2 linked regions of the Stegostoma tigrinum genome follow. The protein of the gene in region 1 purifies or fractionates together with the protein of each later gene. This does not show direct contact. Links are inferred from orthologs where the notes say so. Each region holds a gene or a part of one and is shown on either strand. Other genes may lie near its edges. The genes, in order: larp1 and polyadenylate-binding protein 4-like.

Evidence for each region.
Region 2: the proteins of larp1 (region 1) and polyadenylate-binding protein 4-like purify together in Homo sapiens (affinity purification with mass spectrometry; 3 studies listed by BioGRID and IntAct, with this or other methods). This does not show direct contact. The link is inferred for Stegostoma tigrinum from reciprocal best matches to the Homo sapiens genes LARP1 and PABPC4.

The regions. Positions count from the first base shown.
Region 1 is NC_081366.1:13,968,785-13,976,663, reverse strand, and holds the start of larp1 (la-related protein 1), read left to right. Parts: upstream 1-4,329; 5' UTR 4,330-4,355; coding exon 4,356-4,815; intron 4,816-7,879. UniProt on the Homo sapiens protein: RNA-binding protein that regulates the translation of specific target mRNA species downstream of the mTORC1 complex, in function of growth signals and nutrient availability.
Region 2 is NC_081377.1:33,629,479-33,637,909, forward strand, and holds the start of polyadenylate-binding protein 4-like, read left to right. Parts: upstream 1-5,076; 5' UTR 5,077-5,635; coding exon 5,636-5,828; intron 5,829-6,136; exon of another isoform or gene 6,137-6,240; intron 6,241-7,943; exon of another isoform or gene 7,944-8,123; intron 8,124-8,431.

The sequences.
Region 1 (7,879 bases):
GTTATATGTTGTGGAGGGGTGTATGTGGTGTGTGCAGAGGGGTTCTGTGTGGGGGAGGGGGATGTGTTTGGGATGTTGCGGGGTTCTGTGTGGGGGCAGGGGATGTGTTTGGGATGTTGCGGGGTTCTGTGTGGGGGTGGGGGGTGTATTTGGGATGTTGCTGGGTTCTGTGCAGGGGAGGTGATGTATTTGGGATGTTGCGGGGTTCTGTGTGGGGGAGGGGTGTGTATTTAGGATGTTGCGGGGTTCTGTGTGGGGGTGGGGGGTGGGTTTGGGATGTTGCGGGGTTCTGTGTAGGGGAGGGGGATGTGTTTGGGATGTTGCTGGGTTCTGTGTCGGGGAAGGGGGTGTATTTGGGATGTTGCTGGGTTCTGTGTCGGGGAGGGAGATGTGTTTGGGATGTTGCTGGGTTCTGTGTCGGGGAGGGGGGCGTATTTGGGATGTTGCTGGGTTCTGTGTTGGGGAGGGGGGTGTATTTGGGATGGTGTGGGGTTCTGCTTTGGGGAGGGGGATGCGCTTGGGATGTTGCTGGGTTCTGTGTGGGGGAGGGGGATGTGTTTGGGATGTTGCGGGGTTCTGTGTAAGGGAGGGGGATGTGTTTGGAATGTTGCGGGGTTCTGTGTGGGGAGGGGGATGTATTTGGGATGTTGCTGGGTTCTGTGTGGGGAGGGGGGTGTATTTGGGATGTTGCTGGGTTCTGTGTCGGGGAGGGGGGTGTATTTGGGATGTTGCAGGGTACTGCTTTGGGGAGGGGGGTGTGTTTGGGATGTTGCTGGGTTCTGTGTCGGGGAGGGGGGTGTATTTGGGATGTTGCTGGGTTCTGTGTGGGGAGGGGGGTGTATTTGGGACGTTGCTGGGTTCTGTGTCGTGGAGGTGGGTGTATTTGGGATGTTGCGGGGTTCTGTGTGGGGGAGGGGTGTGTGTTTAGGATGTTGCGGGGTTCTGTGTGGGGGTGGGGGGTGGGTTTGGGATGTTGCGGGGTTCTGTGTAGGGGAGGGGGATGTGTTTGGGATGTTGCGGTGTTCTGTGTCGGGGAAGGGGGTGTATTTGGGATGTTGCTGGGTTCTGTGTCGGGGAGGGCGGTGTATTTGGGATGTTGCTGAGTTCTGTGTTGGGGAGGGGGTTGTATTTGGGATGGTGCGGGGTTCTGCTTTGGAGAGGGGGATGTGCTTGGGATGTTGCTGGGTTCTGTGTGGGGGAGGGGGATGTGTTTGGGATGTTGCGGGGTTCTGTGTAAGGGAGGGGGATGTGTTTGGGATGTTGCGGGGTTCTGAATGGAGGAGGCGAATGTGTTTGGGATGATGCAGGGTTATGTGTGGGGAGGGGGGTGTATTTGGTATGTTGCTGGGTTCTGTGTGGGGAGAGGGGTGTATTTGGGATGTTGCGGGGTTCTGTGTTGGGGAGCGGGGTGTATTTGGGATGTTGCTAGGTTCTGTGTGGGGGAGGGGGATGTGTTTGGGATGTTGCGGGGTTCTGTGTAAGGGAGGGGGATGTGTTTGGAATGTTGCGGGGTTCTGTGTGGGGAGGGGGGTGTATTTGGGATGTTGCGGGGTTCTGTGTTGGGGAGCGGGGTGTATTTGGGATGTTGCGGGGTTCTGCTTTGGGGAGGGGGTGTGTTTGGGATGTTGCTAGGTTCTGTGTGGGGGAGGGGGATGTGTTTGGGATGTTGCGGGGTTCTCTGTAAGGGAGGGGGATGTGTTTGGGATGTTGCGGGGTTCTGTGTAGGGGAGGGGGATGTGTTTGGGATGTTGCTGGGTTCTGTGTAGGGGAGGGGGATGTGTTTGGGATGTTGCGAGGTTCTGAATGGAGGAGGCGAATGCGTTGGGGATGATGCAGGGTTATGTGTGGGGGAGGAGGGTGTATTTGGGATGTTGCTGGGTTCTGTGTGGGGGAGGGGGATGTATTTGGGATGTTGCTGGGTTCTGTGTCGGGGAGGGGGGTGTATTTGGGATGTTGCTGGGTTCTGTGTGGGGGAGGGGGTGTGTTTGGGATGTTGCTGGGTTCTGTGTGGGGGAGGGGGATGTGTTTGGGATGTTGCGGGGTTCTGTGTAAGGGAGGGGGATGTGTTTGGGATGTTGCGGTGTTCTGTGTAGGGGAGGGGGATGTGTTTGGGATGTTGCTGGGTTCTGTGTATGGGAGGGGGATGTGTTTGGGATGTTGCGGGGTTCTGAACGGAGGAGGCGAATGCATTGGGGATGATGCAGGGTTATGTGTGGGGCAGGAGGGTGTATTTGGGATGTTGCTGGGTTCTGTGTGGGGGAGGGGGATGTATTTGCGATGTTGCTGGGTTCTGTGTCGGGGAGGGGGGTGTATTTGGGATGTTGCTGGGTTCTGTGTGGGGGAGGGGGTGTGTTTGGGATGTTGCTGGGTTCTGTGTGGGGAGGGGGTTGTATTTGGGATGTTGCTGGGTTCTGTGTCGGGGAGGGTGATGTATTTGGGATGTTGCGGGGTTCTGCTTTGTGGAGGGGGGTGTATTTGGGATGTTGCTGGGTTCTGTGTGGGGGAGCGGGATGTATTTGCGATGTTGCTGGGTTCTGTGTCGGGGAGGGGGGTGTATTTGGGATGTTGCTGGGTTCTGTGTGGGGGAGGGGGTGTGTTTGGGATGTTGCTGGGTTCTGTGTGGGGAGGGCGTTGTATTTGGGATGTTGCTGGGTTCTGTGTCGGGGAGGGGGATGTATTTGGGATGTTGCGGGGTTCTGCTTCGGGGAGGGGGGTGTATTTGGGATGTTGCGGGGTTCTGTGTCGGGGAGGGGGATGTATTTGGGATGTTGCGGGGTTCTGTGTCGGGGAGGGGGATGTATTTGGGATGTTGCGGGGTTCTGTGTCGGGGAGGGGGATGTATTTGGGATGTTGCGGTGTTCTGTGTCGGGGAGGGGGATGTATTTGGGATGTTGCGGGGTTCTGTGTCGGGGAGGGGGGTGTATTTGGGATGTTGCGGTGTTCTGTGTGGGGGAGGGGGATGTATTTGGGATGTTGCTGGGTTCTGTGTCGGGGAGGGGGATGTATTTGGGATGTTGCGGTGTTCTGTGTCGGGGAGGGGGATGTATTTGGGATGTTGCGGGGTTCTGTGTCGGGGAGGGGGGTGTATTTGGGATGTTGCGGTGTTCTGTGTGGGGGAGGGGGATGTATTTGGGATGTTGCGGTGTTCTGTGTCAGGGAGGGGGATGTATTTGGGATGTTGCGGGGTTCTGTGTCGGGGAGGGGTGTGTATTTGGGATGTTGCGGTGTTCTGTGTGGGGGAGGGGGATGTATTTGGGATGTTGCGGGGTTCTGTGTCGGGGAGGGGGATGTATTTGGGATGTTGCGGGGTTCTGTGTCGGGGAGGGGGGTGTATTTGGGATGTTGCGGGGTTCTGTGTCGGGGAGGGGGGTGTATTTGGGATGTTGCTGGGTTCTGTGTCGGGGAGGGGGGTGTATTTGGGATGTTGCGGGGTTCTGTGTCGGGGAGGGGGGTGTATTTGGGATGTTGCGGGGTTCTGTGTCGGGGAAAGGGGTGTGTTTGGGATGTTGCGGGGTTCTGTGTCGGGGAGGGGGATGTATTTGGGATGTTGCGGGGTTCTGTTTGGGGGAAAGGGGTGTGTTTGGGATGTTGCGGGGTTCTGTGTCGGGGAGGGGGGTGTATTTGGGATGTTGCGGGGTTCTGTGTCGGGGAGGGGGGTGTATTTGGGATGTTGCTGGGTTCTGTGTCGGGGAGGGGGGTGTATTTGGGATGTTGCTGGGTTTTGTGTGGGGGAAAGGGGTGTGTTTGGGATGTTGCGGTGTTCTGTGTCGGGGAGGGGGGTGTATTTGGGATGTTGCGGGGTTCTGTGTGGGGGAGGGGGGTGTATTTGGGATGTTGCTGGGTTCTGTGTCGGGGAGGGGGGTGTATTTGGGATGTTGCTGGGTTCTGTGTGGGGGAAAGGGGTGTGTTTGGGATGTTGCTGGGTTCTGTGTGGGGGAAAGGGGTGTGTTTGGGATGTTGCGGTGTTCTGTGTCGGGGAGGGGGGTGTGTTTGGGATGTTGCGGTGTTCTGTGTCGGGGAGAGGGGTGTGTTTGGGATGTTGCGGTGTTCTGTGTCGGGGAGGGGGATGTATTTGGGATGTTGCTGGGTTCTGTGTCGGGGAGAGGGGTGTGTTTGGGATGTTGCGGTGTTCTGTGTCGGGGAGGGGGGTGTGTTTGGGATGTTGCTGCGTTGGTAACGGGGCGTGGGTGTGGGCGGGCTCTGTTTTTCAAGTCCCACCCACCGTTGCTCGCTCCCTCGGGTCAGCTGGGGAACGGCGGAGTACGTGCGCGCCCCGCGTCAGCGTGGGTTCGGCGCGGTGCGTGCGCGCGTACGCTGCTGCCACACGGAGTCCGAGTGCGAGCCCAGCCGCCGCCATGGCCACGCAGGTGCAGAGTCTGCCGTCGCCTCACGGAGCCCAGGCCCCGGAGCAACCGCGTTCGGAGCCGGCCCAGAACTCGGTACACGCCCAGGCCCCGGCATTGCGCCAGGCCGCCGGGCCCGAGCAGGCGTCCTCCCAGACCGGGGCTGGCACCGGCACCAGGCCTGAGGCCAAGCGCCTCATGGCAGCCCCGCCGCCCAAGGTGAACCCGTGGAGTAAAACGGCCTGTGCCGGCGAGTCCGGCGCTCCCAGCCCGGCTCCGCCTGCAGAGCCCGGAGTGGCCTCCGGACCTGGACCAGGGCCCGGCTCCGAGCCCCCGGGACAGGCTGGAGACAGCGCTGAGGAGCAGAGGGCCGGTGGCTGCGGCCGCAGGAAGGAGTTCATCGAGGCGCCCCCGCCCAGAGTCAATCCCTGGACCAGGAGAGTGAGCGGGAGCGGCGTGGAGACCGAGCCAGGTTAGTGCAGGCCCATGAAGGAGAAAGAGGGTGAGGAATCTGTGGCCGGGCCCAAGACTGGGACAGGTGTTGGGGTGGGGTGGGGTTTGATCGATAAGTAAGGGGGTTGCTCAGTCCCCTGCCACCCCCATCTTTAAAACTCCCAGATCCCAAATTTCTTTTCGCCATCCCCAGTCCAAGGATCTGTGGTAGGGGAGTACCCAGTGTCAGATTCAGCTTCCCAGGTCCTATGTTGTGGGTATACTAACCTTCCCTGATTTTAGATCCCGAATCCTTTGCTTCACATCCCTCCCCTGCCCCCGAAGCTCCCAACCAGTGCTCCCAGACATTACTTACTTGTTAGATCTCACCACCGTACCACACCTGAGATTTGGGAGTCCCTGTCTGCAGATCACTCATCTGACTGCACTCACACATCAATTCTTATTCGTCTCTACCTCACTGCTTGATCTGCCAGTTCAGGATTCTTGCTCCAAACCTGTGGACCAGGCATCCCTGTCCACCCGAGCTGAAACTCCTGTTACAAACAATGTTTATGCCCAGGATTTTGTCTTTTTTTCCTGTTGCGTTCTGAGATGCTGTAACGGTGTGATTCATGCTCAACTTTGATCCTTTTGTCATTAGAACAGGATATTATGGGGTAGCTTGACATGTTAAAAGTTACGAAGGGATGGAACAGAGTTTTATGTGACCAGAGGCCATTTAAGAATTGGTTGGTGGTTGATGGAGTGAAGGGTGCTGGGAAATGGTGAGGAGATAGGATCGTGACTGTTGGTGTGGAGAGCATGTGATGCTTTCTTTTCATACCTGTATTCTGTTTCTGCATGCATTTTTACTGTTAGCAACATGTGCACGATTGAGCAAATAGTCTTTTTCTTTGCCAATTAATTGGATGATAAATCTACAAAAAAGTGGAGAAGCTGTTACTCGGGAATGGCTCACATGACCTGTGTGGATTATATGCGACATGGTTTTTTTCTTAACCTAGTTGTGGTATTGTACTTCTCCTTTATTGAGCAATGAAATCATCGAAGCATATTCCTAATACTTAAGGACTGAAATGTAAACTGATACTGGCTTCTGGGCATGGATGATCCTTCCCCAAGACTTGGATCGGTTCTGCATGCAGCAGTGCAGTGAGGAGAAGAGTTAAATGGATACTGGGATACGTTCATCAAGCAATGCACCATTTTTGTTCAAAAAGATTTTTCAGGGTTTTGCCAAAATTCTGAAATGGGTGTCATCTTGAGTGTTTATTGCAGATAAAGTTGAAGTTGAATGTCGGCGTACTGAAAAACTAACGCAAAATTCTGGAATACACACCAATTTAGTTGGAATCTGAAAGACAGCGGTCATGGTTTAGGGTGGAGACATTGTCACAAATGAATGTATGTCTGAAGCTCTGTTTTCATCCGGACATTAGCCTGTTCTTTCTGATTAATGTCGGTGATTCTGAAGCACTTTTTAAATCAGTCCCTGATCTTAAAACCTGTTCACATGAAGCATGTTGCTCTGCTTCTAGTTACCAATCTTCTGTGAATGATAACACTGCACGTTGGAACAGAACCATGTCCTGCATAAACTACTCATCTGGGACCCTAGCACTGTGACACAGGTTCATGTTTACAATGGAGAAATAATAGAACATAGAACGTTACAGCACAGTACAGGCCCTTCGGCCCTTGATGTTGTGCTGACCTGTCATACCGATCTCAAGCCCATCTAACCTACACTATTCCGTGTATGTCCATATGCTTATCCAATGAGGACTTAAATGTACCTAAATCTTCTTTTATTTACATAGTGCCTGACCATGATTCCAGGTTGCCCAAAGCGCACTTGCAGCAAAAATTACTTCGGAAGTACGACTCCAGTCATATTGGCAAATATGGCAGCCAGGTTATGTGATCAAAAACAGTACTTTTGAGTTCTTCTACATGGTGAAACATTCCAAGGCACTTCACGAGAGCAAGAAAGTTTTGGATGCCCAGCCACTAGACATATTAGACCAGAAGAGAGATGTTTTACACACTGTCTTGAAGCAAGAGAGGGATGGAGAGGTTTAAGGAGGGAATTCCAGAAAATATAGTTTCTGCAGCTGAATGCACAGTTGCCAGTAGTTCATTGTAAAACCTGGAGATACTCTAGACCAGAATTGGAGGAGTGCACGTAAATGGGTTACAGAAACACGTTTGCATTTATATAGCATCTTACATCACCATAGGATGCTCCAAAGAATTTACAATTTACAAAGCACTTTTTGAAGTATAATTATTGTAAAACTGTGCAGCAAAATTGTGCGCAGCAAGATCCCTCAAGTAACTACTTTTCATTTGATTGGAGGGTAAATATTGTCCATGCACTGGGGTAACTCCCATGCTCTTCAATATGATGCAATAGGAACATTTACATCTACATGGGAGGATAGGAGGGGCCCCAGATATAATGCTTCATCCAAAAGACATTAACTCTGACATTGCAACATTTCTTCGTATTGCATTAGGTTACCAACCGAGATGTTTATGCTTGAGTCCTGGATAAAGATGATGGAATTGAAAATAAGGGAGGGAAGGTTCCTGATGTTTCTGACCAGGAACGAGTATAAGCCATTGAACACAGGACTGAAAGGTGAACTGAGTTTAGTATCACTAACGATACAGTTTTGAATGGTTCCAAGTTTATGGAGAGCTAAATGTTGAGGATTGACTATATGTTGGAATAATCAAATGCACAGGTAACAAAGGCAAAGGAAATAAGACAACTAATTTGTTGCTATTGCTGGTCTTGACTGTTAAATTGAATATTGCCTGGGGTGGAGTGCTTTCTATTCTATTCACAAACCTTTGAGTCAAGCAGGTGGAACTCTGGTTTCACATCCCATTCAAAAGGCAGTGCTGCAACGATTCTGAACTTTGCACACAAAATTGAGAGATCAAGTCCTATAGTGGCAAATGAGCCCACAACCTCGAGACTGAGGCAAGAGTGTGACCTGCTGCTGCCATTAGTTCGGTTCATAGCCTAAAATGCAAATTAGTAACCTTGATATCTTCAAACAGTACTAGTG
Region 2 (8,431 bases), on another chromosome or scaffold:
AAGGAGTCATTTGTAGACAAGTGACAAAACATACGTTATCATCTGTTTTGCTTTTAAAGGAAAAGCAATGCTGTTCTATTGCAAAATGACTCTCTGTGTTTTCAACACTACAATTTCAAAGATCAGCAACTAGGTTCAGCCAAGTTTCAGGCCATAGCCAATGATTAAAGTATCTGCCCACATGCCAGGTCACAAGTATGTTTGAAGCAGTTGCCACAGTTTTGTGTCAGTTGCTCTGCTGACCCAGAACTTGATATGATGGATAGATTATGTTTGGCAAGAACTCAAGAGTAAACAGGCACAACAGAAATGGCTGGTGGCGTTTTGGGAGGTGTTGTCAATCACTCTTGATCACACCATCAAGCCATTTTCATACAGTACCACATAAAACTTGGCAAATTCTAATTGGGTGCTTTTGAAGAATCATTCATCTAGCGGTTAGTCAGACAATAACAAACGGAAATGATGCCATGAGGAATTGGTTAGCACAGGTTCCTTTGGGTACAGGAACAATTATGAACATGGCTAAGTGATATCTCATTTCTCTTTGATTGTGTGGATACTGACATGAAGGTACAGATATTGTGCCTGACCTGCATTGCATTGCTTCATAGGACTTCTTTTGAATATCAGCTTGAAATATTCCCAATGAGTGTAGGCTTTACCATTATGAAAGAAGCTTGTGCTAAAACTTAAGCATGACCGGTTCCTGAAAGAGAATGTGTCAGCAGAAACACTATGGAAGGCAGAAAAAGCTCAGGATTAAAAACTCTAAAATACTGTAAAATTCAGTATTCCTAAATGACTTGCAGACTATACACTTCTAAGTAAATGTGGACACCAGTCTTCTTGAGTGCATTTTGGACTTGACTGAGAACTTGCTGTGCACAAACATCACCAGTCACACCTCAAAAGTACTTTATTGAAAGTAAAGCACTTTGGACTGCGAAATCACTGAAGAAACACAAGATTTTCATTTGTATCAGCGATAATAGGAACTGCAGATGCTGGAGAATCCAAGATAACAAGGTGTAGAGCTGGATGAACACAGCAAGCCAAGCAGCATCTTAGGAACAAAGATGCTGCTCAGCCTGTTGTGTTCATCCAGCTCTACACCTTATCTCTTTTTCTTTTGTATTCTAGGTTTGAATCCCTTCAATCAATTTCTACCTGACACAGTACCAAACAGTTCTTATCAAAATCACAAATTACAGCCTATGTGACCGTGACCATAGTAAACTTTCTCTTTACATTTTTCTTAATCCATCTGCAGAGTTTGACATGGTTGACCATAGCAATAACCTCTTACACCTTTCAAACTGTCATTCAGATAGATGTAACTGCTGTCACCTGTTTCTACTCTTGTTTATTCTATTGTAGCCAGAGAATCACTGTCATGGTTCCTTTTCCTGTTATTGTGTTGATGTCTCTGGTGTCAAAGATATATCCTTGGTTCCTTCCTATTTCCCATCTACATGCTACCAAACGAGAACTCCATCCAAAAGCACAGCATTAGTTTTCACACGTACACTATAACAACACACAAATCTACCTTCACCAGCTTGACTTCTTCACTGCTGATAAATGAGCAGACTGCTTATCCGATATCCGGTACTGGTTGAGTAGAAATTTCCTCCAATTAAATATTGTGAAGTCTGAAGTCATTGCCTTTAACCCAAATCCATACCCTATTCCCTAGTTACAAACTCTATTCCTTTCGCTGATAACAGTCTAATATTAAGTCAGACTGGCATTGATCCTGAACTGAACCTCTGATTTCCCATTCATGCTATCGCTAAGAATGTCTACTTCCACATTGTAACATCATCTGAAGTCAGTTCTGTCTCAGCTCAGAGATAATAGGAACTGCAGATGCTGGAGAATCCGAGATAACAAAGTGTAGAGTTGGATAAACGCAGCAGGCCAAGCAGCATCTTAGGAGCAGAAAAGCTGACATTCTGGGCCTAGATCAGCTCTACACTTTGTTATCTCTGCCTCAGCTCGTCTATCTTCTCTGTCTCTAGATTTGACCATTCCAATGCACCTTTGGCTGGTCTCCCATAACCTATACTCTATTTAGATCATTCAAAATATTGTTGCCTGCATGTTAACACACAAGTACCATTGCCCTATCATCCTTGTGCTCACTGACCTCCAAACAAGCAATGTTATCCTTTTGAAATTCTCATTTTTCAAATCCCTCTATTGTCTGAACTTCTCCCCCATCCCAAGCCCCACAATCCCCTGGGATATCTGCAATCCACTAACTCTTGCCTCTTGTGCATTACCCTAAATTTTAATTACTACACCAGTGGTCGCTGTATCTGGGGCGCAAACTTTGGAAATCCCTCCTGACACCTCTCCCCACTTTCCATTTTTACAACACTCCTTAATGGGTTTGTTGTCACACAATTGTTTTATAATGTTCCTCTGCCTAGTAAGGTTTTGCAAGATTCCATAAAAAATATTGCTGTGCCTGACAGCTGTGAAACAGAGCAATGAAATATCATAACCCCTCCCCAACTTACAACCAAAATGAAGATTTCCCCCAAGACAGTAGGAACTGCAGATGCTGGAGAATCGGAGATAACAAGGTGTAGAGCTGGATGAGCACAGCAGGCCAAGCAGCATCAGAGGGGTCTAGGCCGGATATGTCAGCCTTCCTGCTCGGCCTGCTGTGTTCATCCAGCTCTACACCTTGTTATCTATTGAAGATTTCCCCAGTTGCTTTGACCATGCAGGAGCTTCTGCCTCTTGACCCAGACATAATCACAGCTTCGGAGGGGGCCAGGGCACGACGGAGGTGGGACCCAATCTTGTAGTCCGTGAATACCCTTGTGGGCCAGACTCTTCAGAGAGTAACCTGAAGGGATAGACTATGGCAATAAAATGTGAGGCTGGATGAACACAGCAGGCCAAGCAGCATCTCAGGAGCACAAAAGCTGACGTTTCGGGCCTAGGCCCTTCATCAGAGAGGGGGATGGGATGAGGGTTCTGGAATAAATAGGGAGAGAGGGGGAGGCGGACCGAAGATGGAGAGAAAAGAAGATAGGTGGAGAGGAGAGTATAGGTGCAGAGGTGGGGAGGGGATAGGTCAGTCCAGGGAAGACAGACAGGTCAAGGAGGTGGGATGAGGTTAGTAGGTAGATGGGGGTGCGGCTTGGGGTGGGAGGAAGGGATGGGTGAGAGGAAGAACAGGTTAGGGAGGCAGAGACAGGTTGGACTGGTTTTGGGATGCAGTGGGTGGAGGGGAAGAGCTGGGCTGGTTGTGTGGCGCAGTGGGGGGAGGGGACGAACTGGGCTGGTTTAGGGATGCGGTGAGGGAAGGGGAGATTTTGAAACTGGTGAAGTCCCACTTCCTACAGACTAAGCGGGTGGCCATGGGCACCCGCATGGGCCCCAGCTATGCCTGCCTCTTTGTAGGTTACGTGGAACAGTCCCTCTTCCGCACCTACACAGGCCCCAAACCCCACCTCTTCCTCCGGTACATTGATGACTGTATCGGCGCCACCTCTTGCTCCCCAGAGAAGCTCGAACAGTTCATCCACTTCACCAACACCTTCCACCCCAACCTTCAGTTCACCTGGGCCATCTCCAGCACATCCCTCACCTTCCTGGACCTCTCAGTCTCCATCTCAGGCAACCAGCTTGTAACTGATGTCCATTTCAAGCCCACCGACTTCCACAGCTACCTAGAATACACCTCCTCCCACCCACCCTCCTGCAAAAATTCCATCCCCTATTCCCAATTCTTCCGCCTCCGCCGCATCTGCTCCCACGATAAGACATTCCACTCCAGCACATCCCAGATGTCCAAGTTCTTCAAGGACCGCAACTTTCCCCCCACAGTGATCGAGAATGCCCTTGACCGCGTCTCCCGCATTTCCCGCAACACATCCCTCACACCCTGCCCCCGCCACAACTGCCCAAAGAGGATCCCCCTCGTTCTCACACACCACCCCACCAACCTCTGGATACAACGCATCATCCTCCGACACTTCCGCCATCTACAATCCGACCCCACCACCCAAGACATTTTTCCATCCCCACCCCTGTCTGCTTTCCGGAGAGACCACTCTCTCTGTGACTCCCTTGTTCGCTCCACACTGCCCTCCAACCCCACCACATCCGGCACCTTCCCCTGCAACCGCAGAAAATGCTACACAATGATGCCACCCGAAGGTTGTAGGAACAGCAACTCATATTGCGCCTGGGAACCCTGCAGCCTAATGGTATCAACGTTGACTTCACCAGCTTCAAAATCTCCGCAGTGCCACAATGATGCCACCCGAAGGTTGTAGGAACAGCAACTCATATTGCGCCTGGGAACCCTGCAGCCTAATGGTATCAACGTTGACTTCACCAGCTTCAAAATCTCCCCTTCCCCCACCGCATCCCAAAACCAGCCCAGTTCGTCCCCTCTCCCCACTGCACCACACAACCAGCCCAGCTCTTCCCCTCCACCCACTGCATCCCAAAACCAGTCCAGCCTGTCTCTGCCTCCCTAACCTGTTCTTCCTCTCACCCATCCCTTCCTCCCAGCCCAAGCCGCACCCCCATCTACCTCATCCCACCTCCTTGACCTGTCCGTCTTCCCTGGGCTGACCTATCCCCTCCCCACCTACCCACCTATACTCTCTCCACCTATCTTCTTTTCTCTCCATCTTCGGTCCGCCTCCCCCTCTCTCCCTATTTATTCCAGAACCCTCACCCCATCCCCCTCTCTGATGAAGGGTCTAGGCCCGAAACGTCAGCTTTTGTGCTCCTGAGATGCTGCTTGGCCTGCTGTGTTCATCCAGCTTCACACTTTATTATCTAGGATTCTTCAGCATCTGCAGTTCCCATTATCTCGGATAGACTATGGCACATGCTTTGCGTTGGAAGTCTTTTGCAAACCTGCTGAACTTGAAGGGACAGAAACTCTGAGCTGTTGAGCCTGCAGAGGGCAGCGGCTGTAGCTGACTAAGCTGAGTTGTTGGGTTTTTTTCTTTCCTCCTCTCTTGTTCATTTTGCCTTTCATTCTGATGGCGCAGGAAATGACGGGACCGTTTGCTGGTTGATATAAAAAGCCTCCTCCTCCATTACTCTCTCTCCGTCTCCTAGCCACATGTGTGAGTGTGGAAAAGCTCCTGAGGTAGCGCACACTCATACGTGAAAAAAAATCTTTAAAAAAATCAAAAAAATCTTATAAACAGAAAAAAACAAAAATAAAAATCGGTGGAACTAAGTTGTGAAGAGGGCGAAAATCCAGTTACTTTTAATAATTTTAAAAAAAAGGAAAAATAAAGCCAACCAGGTCTCAGCCACGCTCTGGGATTTATCGCCTGGAATCGGGTGCGGACAAACCTTCCGAAGTTTCTGGAAGCTGAAGTATCTGAAGCGGTTTTTAAAAACAAAACAAAAGAAAAGAATTATAAGAGCCGGGGATCTGTTAACTCAATAGGCCACAGGCTTCAGGAGATAAGGAAGAGAATCAGATTTAACCGGTTCGAGCATTTCTGGAAAGTTCTTTGCCCGACGGTTCCTCGCCCACTCCCCTTTTTCTTTCAATTCCTCGCGCTCGCTGTCTCCCGTTTCGTTAGGGGGGGGGGGGGGGGGAAAGTTGATCGTTTAATTTGTGTCGGACTGTCTGAGGATGAATCAGACCGGTGCCAGTTACCCGATGGCCTCGCTTTATGTCGGCGACCTGCACCCAGATGTGACCGAGGCGATGCTGTATGAGAAATTTAGTCCGGCCGGGCCTGTGCTCTCCATCAGGGTTTGTAGAGACATGATCACCAGGAGGTCGCTCGGATACGCCTATGTCAACTTCCAGCAGCCCGCAGACGGTGAGCCAGACGCTTTATTTTTGTTTTTTTTAAAAAAAATCTTCGACCGAACCACATCCGCCCTTCTCCCCAGGCTTCTCCATCCAGCCCCTCGTCACTGGGGGCTGTGTGGCTGCTGGAGGCCAACGTCCAAACTCATCACTGCCCAGAGATATAAATACCACTGGCTGCTGGCAAGCGAAAGGAAATGTTTCTCGTCTGTCCGATGGTTTGAATAGCGCCAAACTTTTCTCATCTGGGAGATCTCCCTGCCCCGATCTTTAAAATACACCGCCAGTTAGTTTAAAACCTCGTCGATTTCATTGCAGGTAGCTGAAATGATGGGCTAGTAAAATTAAAAAAGGTTACGAATTCTGAAGGGATTGAAATCTCATGACCTTGGGGATCTCCGTTTGTAAACACAATGTCACAGGTATGAAAATCGATAATGACTTGTAACATTTGTCAATGTCACGGTTGGCAATGAATTGGCAGCTGGCACAGTTCTTTTTAAGATGTTCTAAAGAAATTACAGGCAGGGCCATGACAAGGTAAATATCCAGGAGGTGAAAAGCATTTCAGGCACAAAAAACAGTTATGGGCCTGATGTCCTTGAGGAAGAAAAGTTGTAGAGCACCTATCATGGCTCAATGAGCTGATGAAGGACTTGATTTATTACTAGGCCAAACAACCTACAAAAACTGTTCATTAGCTATTTTTAGCAGAGATTTTGGAAAATGCACCTATAATTAGCTTCAGTGTTTCTGGGTTGAGGGGAAATAAAAAGCAATTAGTGTCCAATACCAGATTTCTTCAGATGAACCCCTTGTGGAGAGTTCATGGCTGTGACTCAGAGTTAGCGAGCAAATGCAGTCTAAACTTTGCATTTATATAATGTCCTTTTGGTTAAGACCTCTGAAGGAACCATTATATTGTACAGGATGGAAGGAGGACCTAGCAGTTTTCTACTGTCATTGGTATAGTACTCTAAAATTGGATTAGAGTTTTGTACATATTAAAATTCAAGATTGAAGTGAAAGGCACCCATATTCCCAGAGGACTATGGGTCGCTTTCTTCTTAGAATACAAAAATAACTGCTGGTGAGTTTAATCTGAGGGCCACCATGTGTTGGGTGAGGGGCAGGATTGAGAACGCAGTTCCTTCATGGTAACCTCAGTCGATACAGGAATTGAACCCATGCTTTTGGTGTCACTGGATGTTGCAAAGTAGCAGTTCAGCCAAGGGACTTAACGGGTAGTCACTTTGAAGGATGCCTTCAATATTAAAATGTCGTTGAAGTATAGTGAAGATGTGTCTGAAGTGCTAATATGCAGCAATATGATCCTTGTCAGTGACTGAATGCTTTGCATTGTTGCTGAGCAGTTCTCCTTTATCTTCAAGCATAATGAGCTGAAGTAGATTGTGACTTGGGTTTGAGATCAGAAAACTTAGCAAATTACAGCCTTTGAACCCTGGATTTTCTCGAATGTCTGGTTCACCACTATATCAGGTTATCCATTTATCCACTAAGTGATGAGAGAGTGTCTGATTGTATGTACTTTAATTGTAATAAGATAGTTTTCTAGCCTTTTACTCACTTTTGTACTTAAAATTGTTTTTTGTCTGCTATGTTGGACTAGTTCATTCAATCTCATCTGGCATTACATAGTTTCTGCACAGAGAACATCTACCCTTTCCCTTCCTCTGATTGTTGGGTCAAGTTTTGTGTATTTGCAACAATGCTGGGGATTATCAGCAGATGGTATTCATCTTGGCTTTAGAAAGTGCAGTGTTAGCCATTTCGTATGTTACTTTGTCCCTGCTGTGATTGAATTTTGGAAAAAATTGGCATCTATCACCTTGGAAATTTTACGATGAGGAAAAGCTATTTGGTGTCTTCTAGTAACTTAAATTCATTTTACAATAGGATAGTAGCAGACATTGTCTAATTTCTTGTTCAGCCGAATAAGTTTCAGCACACAAGTAATATATCTTAGCACAAGTTATAGTGCTTAAAACAATAACTAGTGTGCTGAAATATGGATAATTATACCTTTTGATTTAATTGTTGCACTTAGATTATTAGTTTCACTTTGTTTTAATGTCTGTTAAAATTTTTAAAAAATCTTTTTCAGTTGTTGTTCTGTGATCCTCCTGACATCACAGCACCAGCTCTAACACAAAACAATGAAAGGTTCTGATGCTGAGCGAAACTGTGCAACTATCGTGGGCATAACCACAGTTCTCAGCCAATCGGAATCCTCCTTAATCTAAATCAGAAATAAATGTTCAACTATCAGCAACCTACACATATGGTAAGGAGCAACTTGAGCATTTACACGTTATCCATAATGAAATATGAAGCAGTATTCTAATGTGCTCAGAATACAACTTTCTAGTGTCACTATTTCTTTTCTGCCCTATGCTAGTGACTTTTCTTGTCACTTGACTTCGGAAAAGTTTTCCATTATGAAGTCTGTTTTCATCCCCTTTCTTTCAAATAATGTTAAGCAATGTTTTGAAAATGCTGCTTCCTTCATAAGATAATTGTAGCAGAGTTGAGTACATCCTGGAAGCCACTTATTAGAAATTAATTGTCACAAGGCTTGTTAGCATATGCTAA